Linked DNA regions of Arabidopsis thaliana. The protein of the gene in region 1 purifies or fractionates together with the protein of each later gene. This does not show direct contact. Each region holds a gene or a part of one and is shown on either strand. Other genes may lie near its edges. The genes, in order: NRPB6A and NRPB8A.

The links.
Region 2: the proteins of NRPB6A (region 1) and NRPB8A fractionate together in Arabidopsis thaliana (co-fractionation; one large-scale study listed by BioGRID). This does not show direct contact.

What each region holds. Positions count from the first base shown.
Region 1 is NC_003076.8:21,102,896-21,106,679, forward strand, and holds NRPB6A (RNA polymerase Rpb6), read left to right. Parts: upstream 1-1,655; 5' UTR 1,656-1,783; coding exon 1,784-1,821; intron 1,822-2,143; coding exon 2,144-2,177; intron 2,178-2,269; coding exon 2,270-2,442; intron 2,443-2,530; coding exon 2,531-2,582; intron 2,583-2,677; coding exon 2,678-2,745; intron 2,746-2,831; coding exon 2,832-2,901; 3' UTR 2,902-3,052; downstream 3,053-3,784. Other genes in the region: AT5G51930 (Glucose-methanol-choline (GMC) oxidoreductase family protein), read left to right, coding at 1-30, 113-673; AT5G51950 (Glucose-methanol-choline (GMC) oxidoreductase family protein), read right to left, coding at 3,198-3,261, 3,349-3,784.
Region 2 is NC_003070.9:20,252,996-20,257,262, reverse strand, and holds NRPB8A (RNA polymerase Rpb8), read right to left. Parts: upstream 2,326-4,267; 5' UTR 2,219-2,325; intron 2,054-2,218; coding exon 1,975-2,053; intron 1,720-1,974; coding exon 1,562-1,719; intron 1,239-1,561; coding exon 1,147-1,238; intron 1,040-1,146; coding exon 928-1,039; 3' UTR 575-927; downstream 1-574. Other genes in the region: AT1G54240 (winged-helix DNA-binding transcription factor family protein), read right to left, coding at 2,769-2,800, 2,876-3,197, 3,295-3,378, 3,621-3,714, 3,810-3,866, 3,963-4,016, 4,129-4,175.

The DNA.
Region 1 (3,784 bases):
TTCGATGGTGTTTTGAATCTTTTAAACGAGGTATATAACATAAATACATTTAAAGGTTATTTAGTTATGACTTATGAGATTGTATGTTGTCTAACTATGACGCATTATGCAGACAAGTCATACTACATCTAGGAAAATCCTGACCCAATCCATTGCAGTCCTTTTAAAATCTTTTGATGTTAAATTGGAAGTGAGGATGAATGGGGGTTTGATCTTTCAAAAAGTCGATGGACCGGCCTCAAAAGGACATATGAAGCTACGGAACACGAACCCAAGGGATAATCCTTCAGTGACATTCAACTACTATCAAGAACCAGAGGATTTGAACAAGTGTGTTAAAGGGCTTAACACCATTATTAGAATGATAAATTCCAAAGCTTTCTCCAAGTACAAGTATCCGGGTGTGACGGCACGTGAACTGCTCAATCTCATGTTGGCCCTTCCCATCAATTTGAGGCCAAGGCACGTGACCTCAGCGTTCAACTTGAAGCAGTTTTGCATCGACACCGTGACGAGTGTTTGGCATTACCATGGAGGTTGCCAAGTTGGAAAAGTGGTTGACAAGAATTACAAAGTCTTAGGCATAGATGGCTTAAGGGTCATCGATGGATCCACATTTCTCAAGTCTCCCGGGACTAATCCTCAAGCCACGGTCATGATGCTTGGAAGGTAAGCACAAAAACTAAATAATCACAACATCAATAAATAAGATATGATGTTTGAATAAAAATCATTGTGAAAGTGCTATGTGTAGGTACATGGGGCAGGAAATTATTCGGCAAAGAGCGGCTTTCCACGAAAAGTAACAAAAAGCCTAAGGTTCTTAATAGAGAGTAGACAAAAGTTTTCTCATCTATTATTACTTGTTGTGTTATTGTCTTCTAACATTTTCACACAAATGAAGAAAAGTAAACAAATTTTATTTCTACCCGTTACTAATACACTAGATAATACTTTCTCTTTCTAAATGATAAAGTGAAATAATAGAGATAAAAAAAAAAAAAAGAGATTTGGTTTTAAATATTCCATTGAAAACACAAAAATGACAATTTTTGTGAAACAAAATTAAAACCTTAAAATGACACGCGTCCTCGAAGTCCAACTTGACGCAGTTTTGCATCCACATTGTGATGACTATATGGCATTACCATGGAGGTTGTCAAGTTGGTCGACAAGAATTACAAAGTTTTAGGTATTGATGCCTTAATGGCCATTGATATGGATCCACATTTCTCAAGTCTCCGGAGACTAATCATCGAGCCACGGTCATGATGCTCGGAAGGTAAAACGCTCATACTTAATGATCATATGATTCTTCGAGTTGTGATTGTCTTGTTGAGACTTGAGTGTTATGTGTAGGTGTACATGGGGCAAAGGATTCTTCGAGAGAGAGAGTTGCTTTTCGAGAAGTATTTTCTATGATTATTCGATCGTTTCTCCAACTAAAGATGAGACCAGACAAGTATATGAATATGTGATCATCGTCCAAAGAAAAGAAAATTCTAACATAATCAGTATATATCACATGTTCCATGATTATTTGGAATAAAGAAGGAAATTTGATTCAGTTGTGGAGTTATTCTTATGTGGGCCTAAATTGGGCTTGAAATTAAATGGTCCGATTATAAAGTTTACTAAGCATAGTTAAATAAACTGGATCATTTAAATTTTATTCAGTTCTTAACTTCATTGATTCATTCTGCGTCGTTCGGAACTCTGCAACGAGAGTTAGGGTTTATACAGAGCAAAGAGAAGGAGAAAGCGAAACCAAAAATCGACATTAATGGCTGACGAAGATTACAACGACGTCGATGACTTGGGGTTATTCTCTCTTCCTCTCTCTCGGTTTCATATCTATTCATTATTCGTGCTCGGATTTCAAAAGATTCTATCTTCTTCTCGACGAATTCGTAATCGATTTAGAGTAAATTGGATTAGTTAATGTCTAAATTAGCAGTTTTTATAGATGGGTTTCTTCGATGAAACGTTGCTTCGATTTTGTTCGGTATAGTACTGATTCTAATCGATTTTAAGGTAGAAAGTAGAAACCCTAATTTCATTGAGAAAAAGCTATTTTTTAAAACTCTATGAGCTTTTCTAGTGAAACTTGTGAGTAAATTGAAGAAAATTTGGGCTATTGCAGATATGAGGATGAGCCAGCAGAGCCTGAGATTGAAGTAAGTTCAATATTTTTTCTTTGTATAAGAGACATGGTTATTGCTTATTATACAACTTTCGGTTTCTGATTGGTTTTTTTTTTCTTGTGTAGGAAGGAGTAGAGGAAGATGTTGAAATGAAGGAGAATGATGATGTCAATGGTGAGCCTATTGAAGCTGAAGATAAAGTCGAAACAGAACCTGTGCAACGTCCACGCAAAACGTCAAAGTTTATGACCAAGTATGAGCGTGCTCGTATCCTCGGCACTCGCGCTTTGCAGATTAGGTATGGTTCTTGCTACTGAGAACAATCTTTTTAATGTTAAATTGGCTTGAAAAGTTTGAGTCTTAATGTTGTTTTTTGGCTGATACAGCATGAATGCTCCTGTCATGGTTGAGCTAGAGGGTGAGACTGATCCACTTGAGGTGTGCTTACCTACCTTCTTGTTGTTGGTTTTTGAAGTTATGTCTCAGTAAACTTATATGAACATTTGAGCTAATTTATTATGATTTGGATTCAGATTGCGATGAAGGAGCTTAGGCAGCGGAAGATACCATTCACTATTAGACGCTATCTACCTGATGGGAGGTGAGAGATTGCATTGAGCTTATATTATTCTCTTCACTCACTTGATCTCTTCTTTTCTTGTGACTTACTTATGATTCCTGAAACAGTTTCGAGGAATGGGGAGTTGATGAACTGATCGTGGAAGACTCATGGAAACGTCAAGTTGGTGGTGATTGATAATCTGACCAGAGACAAATCGACAAATACGTATGTAACTTGCAAGCTTTCCTCTCTTATGGATGATAAATTTTCTGATGTTGTAATGGAACTAAAAATCAGTGAAACTTATGGATAATACTAGACTCATATTCCGAAATTCTGCAAAACTAGAAGCCCCAAGTACCATAATTCCACCATTATTATACATATTAGAAACAGAACATGAACAGATGTACACATTCATACTCTTTAAGTTAATCATACATTGATTAAAACAATTCCAAGATCAAGATTTTCTCAAAACAAGTAATATCTCACGCTTCTTTATCCGGTTTGTTGTATATCTCCCTCTCTTGAAGAATCCTTTGGCCCATATACCTACACAAAACACTCTGACACAATCAGTTCTTAATCAAATCATTAACATGTTTTAGATTATTTGGATCATTTGGTTTATGCATTTACCTTCCGAGCATCATAACAGTAGCTTGAGGATTAGTCCCCGGAGACTTGAGAAATGTGGATCCATCGATGACCCTTAAGGAATCAATGCCTAAGACTCTGTAATTCTTGTCAACCACTCTTCCAACTTGGCAACCTCCATGGTAGTGCCAAATTGTCATCACAGTGTCAATGCAAAACTGCCTTAAATTGAACATCGAGGTTATATGCCGCGGCCTCAGATTGGTAGGAACGCTTAGCATTAGATCGAGTAGTCCATGTATGGTCGCGTCCGGGTACTTGAATTTGGAGAATGCCTTGGAGTTGATCACTTTAATAATGGTGTTGATCCCTTCAACACATATCTGTAGATCCTCTGGCTCTTGATAATAGTTGAACCTTACTGAAGGATTATCATCCGGGTTTGTGTTCCTAAGCTCTAAATGACCTCTCGAGATCG
Region 2 (4,267 bases), on another chromosome or scaffold:
TAGATTCGAGTGATTGTGTCCTTGATTTCTTTATATTACGCCATTTATCCTTGAAATTTGGGCAATAAGAATAAACAATACAACATTAATACCCAAATTTCGACCTAATTCCACATAATAAATCTCAAAAATCGATTTCCATGGAAGACGAATGGGATTTTGGGAATTTTCGATTACCTTGAGGTTAATGTTTGTGCGATCTAGAAGTTGAGCCGCGAACTCTGGATCGTCTAAAATACTTGTCCATTTTCCGGAACCGTGCTTGGCTAGTCCGGCGAGAAGGGCTTCCTTCTTCCACCGTCCATTTATTCTTCCGATTTTCTAGTTGTTTTTTCTTTCTCTTCAAGTCGAAATATATACCATTTAGAAGGCCTCATCAAAAGCTTTTATTGGGCCTAAACATGGCCCACTATACAGATTTAAAATTAAATCTTGATCTGTTCAGAATTTTTAAGACTAATCTCGACCGTCCAAGATATATTCTCCCAGTCTCAAAGAAGCAAGAACACAAACATGGACTAGAGAAAACACAAGCATGGATTAGAGAAAACACTCTATTTTTGGCTCAGAATCTATTTTTCGAGCTTTATTGCTTCATATTGTTGTTAGAAGATAAGAGTGTAGTGAAAATTGGTTAGAGAAGAAACAAAACTGTGTCCTTGACCAAAAAAAAAACTGTGTCTTTGTCTGTGTTTTTTGTTATGTTCTTGGTCTCAATTGCTTATCTTCATCAATAGCTTAGAGCTACAAATAGTACATTTCACCGGACCGGAGCAGTCAATTTGTGGAATGGGATTTAAAACGGAACGGAAAAACTTGCTTTTGCACAAGAGTTGCTTCATGAAAATTGCAAGAGTTGAAGTAGTAAAAGTTAAACATTAGATCAAGCTCTCTATTAATTCAGTTTTTATCCGAAAAAATGGCACCTCACAGCTTCCTCATGAGTAGGAAGAGCCTCTGGTCGAGTTCGAAGTGAGAAATGTGAGCTGGATCTCCCTTAAGCAACATCAGGAGGCCGCCAAACGAAACATATAGCTCTCTGGAAACACATAATTTAAAGAAAATAAAATAAAACATGATGGTTTGATATGTGAGTTGAATTGGATTGAATTATTTTGATATGGGGGGGTTATATGGGATTCTTACGCTTTTGGAGTTTTGCCGTCACGCTCAGAGATCTTGTAAAGCTTCCCGTGCATTATGTATTCATACTTATCGGCAAGTGTTTTCTTTGCTCCCTGTAATGTATCGAGATGAAAACTAGATAAGATTAATGTTTAGATATGCATACACATTCTTGGTTTTCAAATTTAGATCTTGAAGATTCAAGAACTAAAGCTTGTTAAAATTCCATGTCTCCTCTTATTCCTAGATAGACAGGCTTCTCGAATCAGCCAACAGAGTTATAATATCAACCATTTAGCAGCATTAACAGTTATATCCTAACAAAATCCAGATACGGGTTCAAAGTTACCATTCATGGAAATTTGGCCAAGCAAACAAGAGACTGTGTATATACTCAAAACAAAACAACTAAATAAAAAGCAGTAGAGTTTATTACCGGAGTAAAATAACCGGTATCAGGGGTTCCATCGAGATTCAGCGTAGGAGCCAACGCAAGTGTGAACTTATCACCAACAGCCAATGGATAAACCTCTGTATTAACATCTAAATGCATAAACATTTCCAAGTTGTGGCTCGTAGCTTGAACGCGAGTAACTGTAACCACAAACACAACAAAAATCATTGTAGGTTTAAGAGAAAGCCACTCAATCTGAAGACAGAACAAAACTTGGGGGAGACTAAAAACTTAAAAAGTTAAATTTTTCCACAAAACCCACACACTCAGACCAAAAAAGGATAAACGGAAGAACTCATTCACAATACATACATGAACTAAACAGCTATGAACAAACGTCGATGTAAGCCATGAGAAGTACTAGAAATCGTGAGTGAGGCTAATAAAGTGTATACCTTTATCGAACTTTTTGCCATCAGGGTCTAACTGATCGACCACGAAGATATCCTCGAACAAGATGATATTGCTCGCCATCTGCAAACACGGAAATTCAAACCCTAAACACTCTTTATTTCCTTGATAAAACCCCAATTAAACCAGTAAACAAGACCTATATGGACATCTAATGAGTACAAGAATCCGAACTCTGAAATCAACTTATAAACAACCAATCGCATAGGAAAGTAAATAGTTCCGAACCAGGAGCTTGAGTTGAGGGAGAGATGGAGAAGCTTGAGATCAAAAAGTTCAGACTTTAATCTCCCAAGCGATGGGCGATAGAAGAGCCAAAAAACAATTAAAGGGACAGACTGAGAACAAAAACTCATAAAAGTCCTATGTAAGCTTATAATGGGCTTACAATGAGGCCCATTATAAAATTGTAATTCTCATAACTAATTTTTTTCTTTCTTGATCAGTATTTGAAATTAATCTCGACCGTTAAAAATACTTGCTAAAGACACCATGACACACTTTCTTTTTTTCTTTCTTATGTTATGTATTAGAAAAACCTATTCAATTCTTAAGATTGGCATTATCTGTAAAAACTTGTATTAACAAAAACTAACAGAATAGTCTGTTGCCTTCACAACCAAAATCATTTAACCACAAAGTAACAAACTATGACTAGTTAGTCAAATGAAATCACATTTCATATCTACACTCTTTTTTTTACTCAAAACCAAAAACACTAAAAAGAAACCGGTGATCGAATATATCCACCTTGAACCGGACCAGAAGGTCAAAGCTTTTACAGCAGGAAAATCTTTTCACCGTTAGCACCTGCAAGGACCAAATCAAATGAAAAAGTCAGTGATGATGATGATGATAAAAGGTTAAGAGGTGGACATTACTTACATCGATTAAGGATTTCTACGGCTAACTGCAAGGTTATGTTGCTTTCTAATTTTAGCAACTGGGCGTGTTTATCTGCAAGTTCGTATGCCTCTTTTGCTTCCAACTCCAAGTGTTCTGCCTCTGCGACTTCTTTTGCTAATGCGATTATCCGAGGATCTACTTCTGTTGTTGGTGGTGCGAAAGAAGCACAAGTACTTGGTGTGTCTTGTGCCTTTGTGCCCGTGGAATCTTCTGGATCCATGGTTTCTCTTTGATTTGAATCTCCTACTGACACAACTGGAGTATCAAATACACCACGGGGGATCTTGTAGAGGTTTCCTACCTGCATTTACAAGTTTTTTTTTCCGTTTTTCTGAACTGATCAAACAAAACTACTGAATCTTAACATTAGTGTGAGGCAACTCTGAAAAACTAGTTACCTTGTATACTTGGCCTTCAGAAACTAGATATCTCAGCTGGTTTTCCAACCGCTCCCTAAAATCTTCCTGTAACTCGTTCCTTTCCTGCAATTTATATTAACCACAAGAACATGATGGTTAGTTGATCAAGAACAACGGAGGAATCAACAAAACCAAGACTTTAAAAGGAAGACTTTTAGGGGATGGAACATGAAGTCAAATTTTCAGATCCTAATGTTCCATTGTGTAATCCCGCTATTGACTCACATTTCAGAACCAATATACACTACTCATGAGATATGACCATGAAACACAGATACTTATAGAGACAGAGAGATCCTCCTAACCTTGATAAAAGTGAAAATCGCATCGACATCAAGACCATTATGATTCTCGTAGACTGTTTCTAAAGCCTGAAAGATCAATTCATCAGTCGTAAACCTGAAACAAAACCAACAAAAAAAGAGTAATATCAAAACATAGATAGACCAGAGAAAACAAAGATTGGTGGTTAAAGAATCGAGAAGGTCACAAACCCAGAGGGACCCCGGTCTTCTTCTGAATCTATCATCATGAGCCTTTCAAGCTGTTCACTGAAAATGAGATAACAAATCAATCAAAACATAACCAGAAAAGCAAAGATCAATTCTAAAAGATTGGTTCTAAAGAATACAATAAAATTCACTAACGCATAGGAAGAAGGTTCTGAAGAATCCGTAGCCGCTGGAGAAGAAGGAAGGTCTCTGAAAAAAAGAGAAAGAAATTGACATTATTAGTTGAAGCAGAGCTTTAAGCATCGATCGATCTCTCTCATTTCCACAAAATTGGCTTTGGGAAATACAAAAGTTCACGAACCCATAAGTAACGTTGTTCGCATCCGATTTTGTATCTCCAGAAACCATGGCCACTGAAGAAGGATCGTCGCTGAACAAAAAGAAAGAAACTGACACGTTAGAGATCAAGCAATTGAAGCATCGATCTTTTTGATATCTTC